Drosophila melanogaster: one gene and its partners. The protein of the gene in region 1 purifies or fractionates together with the protein of each later gene. This does not show direct contact. Each region holds a gene or a part of one and is shown on either strand. Other genes may lie near its edges.

The links.
Region 2: the proteins of Nedd4 (region 1) and SH3PX1 purify together in Drosophila melanogaster (affinity purification with western blotting; 2 studies listed by BioGRID, with this or other methods). This does not show direct contact.
Region 3: the proteins of Nedd4 (region 1) and Ndfip purify together in Drosophila melanogaster (affinity purification with western blotting; one study listed by BioGRID). This does not show direct contact.

What each region holds. Positions count from the first base shown.
Region 1 is NT_037436.4:17,528,033-17,531,788, forward strand, and holds the start of Nedd4 (Nedd4), read left to right. Parts: upstream 1-2,048; 5' UTR 2,049-2,390; intron 2,391-2,776; 5' UTR 2,777-2,814; coding exon 2,815-3,003; intron 3,004-3,756. Other genes in the region: Edc3 (enhancer of decapping 3), read right to left, coding at 1-588, 877-1,436. UniProt on the Drosophila melanogaster protein: Essential E3 ubiquitin-protein ligase which accepts ubiquitin from an E2 ubiquitin-conjugating enzyme in the form of a thioester and then directly transfers the ubiquitin to targeted substrates.
Region 2 is NT_037436.4:9,712,158-9,715,913, reverse strand, and holds the start of SH3PX1 (SH3 and PX domain containing 1), read left to right. Parts: upstream 1-2,086; 5' UTR 2,087-2,228; coding exon 2,229-2,981; intron 2,982-3,756. Other genes in the region: vsg (visgun), read right to left, coding at 1-170, 1,291-1,363.
Region 3 is NT_037436.4:17,652,607-17,656,362, reverse strand, and holds the start of Ndfip (Nedd4 family interacting protein), read left to right. Parts: upstream 1-2,082; 5' UTR 2,083-2,371; intron 2,372-3,756. Other genes in the region: CG7484 (uncharacterized protein), read right to left, coding at 767-1,145, 1,463-1,581, 1,637-1,675.

The DNA of each region.
Region 1 (3,756 bases):
TTATGATGATGATTGTTCACAATGTGCCGCACCACATCTGGTTTTTGGGTCGTCGACTCGATGTCGTCCCAAATTGCCTGCTTGTCGAACAGCGCTAGATTGCCCTCAAAATCGAAATCCTCGTGGATCAGCGGATCGTCCGCCTCGCTGCCAAAAGTCAGTTGCACCTGTTGCTGCCGCATGCTGCTCTCCCTTCGCACCCTGTTCCGCTTGTTCTTCCCGTTGCCGTTGCCATTTCCATTGGTATAAGAACCATTTCCGGTGCCATTTCCATTGTTATTGGCATTGCCATTCCTTCTTACATTTCCATTTGTATTCCCATAGCTCGAGGCTGCCGTCTGCTTGTAAAATCCATCTCCGTTGCTGACGATATCTATGGGTTTGCTGCTGCCCAACGACAAACCAGTTGCCTCGCCGCTATCTCCGCTGCTGCTGCAGTAACTCTCCCGGGTGTTGCTCACGTAGGAGCCCAGTTTCACCTCGACCTTCGGCGGTATCATGTTGCCAAAAAAGGCGGCCACGCTGTTGGGAGTCGTTGATATCTGCGGCTGCTGCTGAGCGCTGGACGCACGGGATGTTTGTGGTGTTCTGGATGACGAAACAAATATAAAAGTTAGATGAAACCTATTTTAAATACGACGCTCAGTTGGCACAAGACCTATCTGAAACGACTGTTGCTTTTTATCAGTAATAAAGGTAATTTACTCATTTCGTATCTCAAGGTTGGTAAGTTTAAACATAAAGATGGCTTCAAAATGAAATGAAATAAACACAATCGTGCTGACTGCAAAAATCTTCATACTTTTTTTTTTTATAAAGAGCTAACAATTAATTTAAATTATTGGCATTGCACAATCGTTTAATGGGCCATATTACCTAAGGGTGCCATTTGAGCCGTTGGTCTCGATTAGCTTCAGCTGATGCATCTTATCGCTTAGCGCCGAATTGAAGTTGCCACGTGGGCCCGAAGAACTCGATGCTCCGCCAGCCGCTACCCGTCCATTGTCGTTGGCCCTTGACCGCGGCGTCGATGGCAGATCCTGTTCTCGTTCCTGCTCCTGGAACTGCTGTTTCTGTTGCTGCTGGAGTTGTAGCTGCTGCTGCTGCTGCTGGAGTTGGAGCTGCTGCTGCTTGCCCAGGATGTTGGAGAAGTGGGGCAGCTTGACGGGCGTGGGCTTGTTGACCACTGGCGGCGGCGCCGTGTGCCCATCCAGATCTTGCTTTGCGGGCTCGATGAGATCGATGCTGCGAATGTCCGTGCACTTGAGGACCACCTCGGCGTTCTGCTTTCGCAGCGGCACGCCATTGCGGAAAGCCCTCACAATGGTGATCTCCTCGGCAGAAATCTGCTTGATCAGGCCCTGGAAGACGCCCAGGACCTCGTCGCAGGCTATAGACACTGCACAGCCGATCCAGTCTTGATCCGTCGGACCCATGTAATCAGTTTTCGATACTCCCTTTGCGAATGCGACAACACGTTGGATCGGCTTGTTCTGCCCTGGCTAATGGTTGTTCGAAATGTTTGCTGGCCCGCGCAGAGCTGCTTGTTGTTTTCGTTTCTAATACGCAATTTCGCCACTAACTAACTACGCACCACGCACCTCTCTTCCTCTTCTTCCTGCTGCTGCACCGCCGTTGATTCTAGTGTTTTGTGGCTTAAAGTCGGGTGTTTTTGAATTATTTGGCTCTGCGGTCAAGGGGTTCGGTATTTTGTCTCTTTTAATCAATAAATGCACCAACCGTTGCAACACATTGACGCTAAAACTTATTGGATTTCTCGTTTCATTGGGATTTTCACTGCTTGCGTGTGGCCGTTCGTTGGTGTTCAGATAATACCGAACAATACCCAAACTAGCTGCGTGGCAAATTAGTTTACTTAATAAATTTATAATAATATACATATTTATAATAACTACAAATTTCATGCTTTACGGAAACTTCACCTTATTTTGATAAATATTTGGTTCAATAAAAGCCTGCGAGCCATTTTATGAATTTAACAAGTGCTTCCCTTAACTGTTAAGGCTTCTGGGTGCTGTGGTATGTTCTCAGTGCGCGTACACGGTCACTCTGGCAGTTTTGTTCTCGATTTTGTCGCCGTTTTGTGCATTTTTCCCGTCCGGTGTTTAAATTTTATTTAATACTGCGCGTGCGACATATATACAGGCACCTATAGCCGACCGATATCGGCGATTAAGGCATGTGCGCCGCCGAAGCGGTCAAAGTGATAATCGCTTGAATAGTGAGCAGTGTAGAATTTGCCGTGTGATAGAAGTACGTGATGATTTTCCGCAAATAGTGGATAAAGGCGAGCCCACACGCATACCACCGCAAAATATATACATAAATCGGGCGAAAATATAGTGGCCCGTGTTTGTGCGTGTGTAAACGTAAGTGGAAAACTTGGGCGAAACTTTATGCTAACCATAAATGGTCTACAAAGACATGGCTTCGCGCCTGGCTAATTATCAAGAAAATGTTTGGCTTTTGTGCTCTATCACCCACACCTCATTCACACAACACACACACTAGAAACACGCTTGCACGGGGGCAGGGCGGCAGACAGAGATGGCATCTAGCACAAGTACCGTTGTTCACTTTGTTTGCTGTCTTTGTTGTCTGTTCGCTTTTCTTTCCTTCGCTTCTGTACACCCTTCCCCCTCTTGTTACCTTATGGCAGCCTCCTCTTCTTCTTCTTCGTGTCATTTATCGCTTAATTTGCACTTCCGCTTTGCACATATTCACCCTCTCTCCTTCCGTCATTCTTTCATTGCAGAAGCTTCTCTAAAAGAAACAAACAACAACAACACAACAATGTCGGCACGTTCCAGCGGCTTGGTGGCCGCGGCGGCCCTTCCCGTCCCGTCGTCTTCTTCCTCGGTGGCCGGCGGCGACGTGCCACGCCCGCCGCCCCGCCGGCGAGCGGCCTCTGTTGCGGGACAACAGCAAACGCGCCAGGAATTTGGAAATGGTTACACTCCTCGCAGATCGTTGGCAGCAGTGGTAAGTTTACATAAGTGCAGGTGACGACGAAAAGAGAGAGCTTTACCTTGAAGGACAACTTAGGAACTCTTCTAACATCTTAGGAATTTTGTAGGAGCACCTTATGGTTACAACCTTATTTCACAACGCATCCAACTCTGATTGAAAAATTTCATTCCATTTTTGATAAAGCCAGTTAACTAATTATGGGTTATATAAACGCGTATGTATCAAATTAAGTTATCATAACACCAAATAGTGACCGTGGCACCTATATGTTTATCAATTTTTAATAGATAGTAAGGTATTACTTACTATGACATCTTATAAGATACTCTTATCAATTGTTTTGGTTTCGTTGCAAACTGACTAATCAATAAATGTATCTCATTTTAAAGGGCATACCGAAATGTTGTCTTATCAAAACTAAGCCAACCAATTCCTATAACCTTTTATAAGGAATTGCCCACAATGTATCCACCATTTTGTTGGTGTGAAGATTTGAAAAGTATTTATCAACGGGTGGTGCTGGGGGATTTGGTCGCCCTTATCAGTGCCTCCGCTGTATTTAGTGTTTCCATTTTTACGATGTTTTCACTACTAATCTAATCTGCAGATTGCCAAACAGCTGAGTCGTGTAGATGGGCCATGTAGATTTCACTCCCCTCATGGATGATAAAGTGGGATATATGTATGGTGGGAAAAGTAGGGGATCTACAATTCCTTCAGAAGCCGAAAAGCACGAAAAACTTACGAACTGTTCTTATCCAATAC
Region 2 (3,756 bases), 7.8 Mb from region 1:
TGTGGTCTTCTCAGTCGATGTGGTAATTGGTGGCGTCGTCGTGGTCTTTTCAGTTGTGGTGCTCGTGGTTGAGGTCGACGGTGGCGTCACAGTAGTGGTGGTGTCCGGCGGAGTGGTGGTGTTCTTGGATTCCTGGGTGGTGGTGTCCGCTGGAGCCGGTGTGGTCACTGCTAAGGCAAATAAAAAGAGTTTATAAATATTAGCTTATGATAAGTTCGTAAAACTATTTCACATCAGATAGACTCAAGTGTAGTAAATATTATAGTAATGAACCCAATGTGTGGTTTTTTTTAATCAACCCTTTTTGATACGTTCATATTTCTTATTTCAGAATGAATACATCGTAAAAAAATAATTTTAAGTAAGAACAGCGCCTATCATAGCTTCAAAAAAACAGGGCTTGTGTGCAGTAATCAGCAACGAATATTATAGATAAAAACTTATGCGTCACTCCAAAGTTAAAAGCAAATAAATTGGTAAGCATGATAAGTTCACAACGACTCTTATTGATCGATTTCCAATATTTCAAAAAGCACAACGAATACACATGTTTTGTAAGAATTGAAAATAAAAATAGTTCCATTGCACATGTAAATGATGTCAAAATTGTCAAACAAAATAGAAAAACGTAACAAAACAAATTGATTTGGTTCGGAAAATAAAGATTACTATATTCAAAATAGGCAGCATTTAGGTGATATTTATTTGTATGCAATAATGGAATTTAAGGAATGGAAATTTAAGAAAGCTGAAAAAGTAAACATTAAATTGTTTGTCAACAAAATATGGTCAAAATCTCTTTAAATCCTAAAATATGTACAAATATTTTCGTATGGTAATTAGGACGTGACGATTTAAATAAATGCTTGCGAACAAAATATGGTTACAGCTCGGTAAATACATATTTACCAAATGTCCACAAATATTAACGTATGGTAATGTGACAATTTACGGACTTTCGTAAATTCCAAGTTTCTTTTGGAAAGCTGTAGATTTGCAGTTCTTATGCGGAGAACATTCCCCCAAAGTCGGAGTAAGAGAAAATGGCCGGAGAATTGATATTCAATATAGGAATTGGCATTTAAAAAACCCCCACATCCACACACACGCACATTCATGCACACACACACCCACATGCCCGCACGGCGCACACACGCGAGGGGTTTGCGCACACGTACGCATGCACATGCAAGCGTGTGTGTGTGTGTGTCCGAGTGCATAATTGAGAAATGAGTGTTCGGCGTGTCTTCAATTCGATTTTAATTCGGTGTAATTTGATCAAAGACTCACCTTCTTCGCACAAATTCGCGGAGAAGAGGCCCACAAAGAGGCACAAGATTAGGAATTTCGCCTGCCGATTCATTGTGGTCGTTAAACGCTGAGTACTCGAACGACAAAGTCAGCAAATCTGCAAGGCAAAGAAAATACGTTTGCGAAGTGGTTGGGGATTAACAGATACCGCTGGAGTCAGTATTGCACAACTGGCGATGTCGCCGAGCTCCGATTTCGCTCACCCACAAATTAAAGCAAGGCGCAATTAAGGAATGAATAACACGACACGAAGACCAGATTCTTTTATGCCAACTCGATACTTCGATGCATCCCGATACATCGACAGCTGAGCCGTGCTCTGCAGCCCTGGCACTCGGCGCTTATCAGTAGGGGGAGACCGTAATGTAGTTGAAACGCCTCGCATTTGGTGCAATATAAAATTATGATCATAAATTTGTCCTTATATTTTACTTGATTTATTACTATAAAATTGTATACCCACCTAGCAATTTATTTGAAATATTTGTAGGTTAAATCTATATAAACATAAGTAATTTTTCACAGCTAAATCTTTCTTGATAACGCAATAACTCATTAATTTAATTTGATCGACTTAAATGTACCATTTATATTATTTTATTTTAGTGAGTATATAGTAGTAGTACAGTATAAATATGAAGTTTTTATAATTATTTATCAAATTAGAGAGTGCCTCTGTTCCAAGTGTAGAATTCAGGTGTGTTGGGGGAATACCCCTAATAAAATTGCTGTATCATCATTATATCTTGTTGCTGCAGAGCGAAGAAGACGTCAGTGTCAGTTTAATTCCGTAATCCAAGAAACGGTAACACTTCACACTTGGTGATTCAGAATTAGTAGATATTTCTTGTCTGTTTATGGCCCCTGTGAAGACAGGACTCGAATTAGCGTAAAGGAACGACCAGGAGAGCACCAAGATGACCTCGTACGTGCGTGCCATGTACGACTTTACCGGGGAGCCGGGCTCCTCGGAGCTCTCCATCGCGACTGGCGACGTGCTCTCGGTGACCCGGAGCGATGTGGGTGAAGGCTGGTGGGAGGGCAAGAATGCCCGTGGCCAGATTGGCCTCTTCCCGGCTGCGTACGTGGAGGTGATGTCGGCGGCCGAAGCCCAGAAGCTGAGCGCCAGTGGAGCGACGTCGGTGCCACAGGTTCCGGATCCCTTCGCCTCGCCCCCTTTGCCGCGTTACGATCAGACGGCGGATGATGATGGCAGCAACTGGGATGATGAGGACGATTGGAGCGACGACAATGACACGTACTCGGAAATTGGTCCAGGTGGCCAGAAGTCTGCGGGACAGTCGGCTCGCGCTGGCGGATTGTCGCATTCCACCAGTGACTACGATAACAAACACCTGCCCATCGCGCCCAACGATGATACCCAATCACTGGCCTCCGTGGCTGGTGGGACTGGTGCTGCTGGCACCGTCAAAAAGGGCATGTTCGCCAAAAGTTCCGATTCATATATACTCGGCTTGTCCAGCACCAAGGAGAAGATACCCGAATGCGAGATGGCCTACATTACACAGGTGGAGGACTCGATCTACCAGTGGACGCAGAACCATTCGCCCTACTCCGTTGTGGTGGCCAGTCCCAAAAAGGAGTCCAAATTCAAGGGGATGAAGACGTTCATTGCCTACCAACTGACGCCTAGCTTCAACAACATATCCGTAAGTTGGCCAACCCTGATATCGCCGTGATTAACAACACAATACGATAAAGCTCCGACCGTTGGCGCATGAGTGTGTAACTACGGGTGCAATATTTTGTTGATAATATGTGTCTGTGCTGTGTTCGCTACCCTCTGCCAAGGGTAATTTGGGCTGGTTCATGTGCTCACGAGCAGATGGAATGGAATAAAGAAAGACCAATCCTTTGTTTATCGAAACTCCGCACTAATTGCCGGCCAACATTTTCCAACTGAGTTGACCTTAAAAGTGACCCTTTTTTGCTGAGAAAATTTAAATGGAGATCATATCCATTTCTTTAATTGGTTTGTTTTATTAAGACTCTGAAAATTGGCTAAATTTATCTTTTTATTTGTTAAAGTTTTAATACTATTCAAAGCTATAGTTCATTTCTTATTAGCTACTTAAATAGTATTTTGATAATTTCGATCAACTTTATTCATTACAATAATGAGAAGCATAAATGCTCGACATTACTTTCGAACTGAAATCAAAGCTCTTTGTAAAGTTCTTTCAGTCCATTAAAATACACATACAAATAGGTAGAGCATTACAGAGTCGTAAAAGCACTTAAAATTCTTCTTTGTGGGGGCAATTCTGACCAACTGGTAGCCAGCGGCACTGCGATGATTGCTTGTGCTTGCGAACCGCCACGGGGAATGACTCAGCAACGAGCTCTGACCCCCCGAGCTCCGGGCTCCTCTTTGCGTGACCCAATCACAATTAATTGGTCATATCTAATCTGGGTTTCCCTTTC
Region 3 (3,756 bases), 120 kb from region 1:
TTTGATCATGCGCGGTATCCGGATAAAAACAAGATTAAGAGAGCGGAAAGACGGCGATGTCAAGGCTGCGTCACAGATCGGAAATAGACATCAGCTACGATTTTGGCGGGCAGAAATATGCTGTTTGCCGTTTCAGTTACCACAATTACTCCAGCAGGCTGATCAAATATTGATCGACTTGAGGACCCCCACCATGTGAGCCCACTACGTCACTGCTGACGGCCACAAAGGGGGGGGGGGGGTGTGGTGTGGTGTGATGTCTTTGCGATAAGAATTTCGGCTACAATGCCGCGAATTTGTTGCCTCAGCCGGGAACTTTCCTTTGCCATCGATAACAAGATAACAAATAAAATGATTTAATTTATACTTATGAATCGAAAACTCCCACGGCGTCGCATTGCAGTAACTGGCTTGTCAGTTACTCTCAAACTGTGTCCACAGCTTTTCCGCGGTGGCGCGTAGAAAAGCTCACGCCACCTTGCAGTGGCTCTAAAAACTTTTAAAAACTAAATCTCTTTAGTTAGATTAGATCTCTCATATTACAAGCCAATTTTATGTATATCCCTGATCTTGATGTTTATATTTTTTAAATTCAGTGGCTTGACATCCCAGAAGTTTGGAGTACTAATCTCACGTCTACACATTTTTAGTTCTTGAACAGAATATATTTAACAAAATATAAATATTCAATGATTTTGAAAGAAAATGGTACGGTCTATAGTTTTGTTTCGGATTTTATTAATCTACAGTTTTGGGTATGCTTATTTTAGATCCTGTTGGTTCGCAGGTAATCTTCATCGTCATCTCCATCGGCATCCTCCACCACGCTGTACGAATTCTTGCCGGCACCATCCTTGGCCAGATGCGTTTCGAAGAACTCCTCGACAGTGTCTGTGTTCCACTTGGTTATGGACAACGTCTCCTGCACTTTGCCACTGGCATCTAGGAGCTTAACCACGGGATCCAGTCCTCTTACGTATTTGATCTGCAGGTTGGGGAACTTGGCAGGTCGGCCGCTTTGAATAAAGGCCTGAATCTGCGGATAGGCCCGGAATTTGCAGGTGCACACCTCCAGAATTGCCTTGGCATATGTCCGCTGTGCCGCCGGCTGCTGATCCAAAGTGCAGCATTGCTTACACTGAGGCCTGAAATGTTAAAAATGTTTTGGATGAATAAAAAAGAGCAATGGGCTCAAGCAGAAACTATAAAAAGTTAATATAATTTTTGTTATTAAAAACTGAAGGAAGAATCATATTTAGTCAGTGGTATGGAGGAGCTTACTAAGTCAAGCTAAGCATTTTTGGTTGGAATATTTAAAATGAGGTATGAAATTTAACCTGATCTAATTAGATTAACATATTAATTAAACAATTTTCAGGTCTTCTTATGGAATGATTATAGCATAGTTCATGGGTATCTTTACAACTCCAAAGCTAGATTAATTAAATGTTATTGAACCCACTTGATGGTATCCAATCCGAAATCATCCAGTTTTTCGCAACTGGAACACATTAACTGGGCCTTAATAAAACCCAACGCCCGGCAGTCGGCGGCCGTCAATTCGGCTTGAATTTGCTGGCACTGTAGGGTATAAAATATATATTAAAAACATGTCTTAGCTTCAGACATAACTTACACTTAAAGCCAGTAGAAGAAATATAGCACATTTATGCATTTTTGTGGCTAAATTCTAATTAAATTTACTACGTCCACGTCGTTGTTTACAAAATTTTCTTAGCTTAGTGATGAGTAGAAGGGAAAATAACATTATTTAGGCTTATCGATTATATTCGGGTTGCTTGTCTTTTCATCGTTTAGGGTATTCCGTATACTGTTTATGAATTAGACAATTAATCAAACTTTTGAACAGCTTTAATAAACTTATTATTATTATTTCTTGATATTTTTTCAGCAATTTGAAACTTTTGTCACTATAAAAGTGTACAAAATAATTTCAGGTTTTTATATTCAAGTACGCAAGTTTATTTTCCGATGTTAATAACTAATTTCATGTGATTCGATAGCTTATCACGCTTACATCCCTACAATCGATACGGACTGCCCAGCAGCTGGCCACCACTAGCTCAGAAATCGAAGATTATTCGTGGTGGTGCATTTGTTTTTTTCGCTTCGCTCGCGAAGTGAGCCCAGTTTTAAATTATTTAAATTGCGTATAGTGAAGCCACTTGAAAGCGAAACGCCTACTGTCGCAGTTCTGCCAAAAAACCAACAGTATTAGCTGTGTGCGTGTTTGGCAACAACAAGTCAACAAAATTCGAACAAAATCAATAAAACGGAAACGTGAGAGAGCGCTGCGCAAAAGAGAAAAGCGAACGCAATCGCAATCGACCAACGCATAGAAGAAAACAAGGTGAATAAATAGAACATGGCATAGAAAAGGCGAACTAGAATCAAATCGAATTAAAATCGGGTACAGAAATAGACGTGAAAAGAAAGGGCGAAGAAAGGGAAACAAATAACCGTTACAGGAGCACTCCTGGAGATTTAAGGCTCTCTCTCCCCCTCCTCAGCACTTTAGCCCCAGTTGTGCGTTTGTGTGTGTACATGTGTTTATGTTTTGTTTAGCACATTAATAATCTTAATTCTGCTAGATTTCGCCACTCAGGTGCTAAACGCTAAAAAAAAAAGTGCACACTCCGATAAGTCTACCCCTGTGTCGGTGTACTTGTTTATTTAATTCATATTTACTCAAGTAAATTAATTCATTTGCCCTTGTACAATAACAACAAGCGCCGTTTGCTTGGAAACTCGTTCTCGCAGTCGACCGCCTCCCCTCTTCGCTCCTAATCTTATTCTTTCTCTATTCCACTGCAATACCACTGCAGCTGTCGGTGCCTGTGTGTTTTTCATTCAATCCAGGAAATTGCCCCTTGAGAGACCTTCCATTCAGACAGCTCCATCTGCATCTTCTTCAGCTTCTTCCGCTTGCATCTTCATCCTCTCTCTTGTGCTCCCGGTCCCGTTTAACTGGTTTACTTTATGCTTTATTCCACTGATGCCTCCTCTATCGCCCTCTCCCTTGCGCACACCTGCTGCTTGGCAGCTGTCCACGCGCTCAAATTTCTTATCACCGAACAAACTCCGGCTGAAACCCAAAACCTGGCCCAAACTGCGTTGTTACTTTTCCACGGCAATTCCCTAATTTCCAACGCCTTTTGTCACGGCCCTGTTGCTTTCTCCCTCTCGAGAGCTCTAACTCCCTCTCCAATCCTATTTTTACATACACGCATACGCAGTAAAACTTGGCTATGACAAACCACATATTATTCTATAGATACCAAATACTGTTTTTTTAATACTGTATATTGTTAGATACAAAAACACTTTTGGAATTACAAATCCAGATGGAATTATTAAAAAAAAATATGTATATATTTTGCACAAAATTTCTCATCTGTTTCAAAGGTAATTCCATATGTGTTGACATTTAGAAATGTAAAAGCTTTTCTATTTATTTTAAAGATTCAAAAATTATTTTTAGCCGAATGCATACGCATTAAAAGCAAATCGATTTATTCGGTTTAAACATCTATTGTTTTTCAATGGAAAAACCAGTGTATTTTCCAGAGAACCTTACCTAAGTTTTTATATGTATATATTACATTGAAAATAATTATATGCCAGCTTTGAAGCATGTTAACGATAAGTGTACTTGAGCCCGATTGTTAGTGAATTCTTAAAAAATAAGAATGAGCAAAGTCGCTTTACATTGGGATTGATTGTGAAATCCTCCAA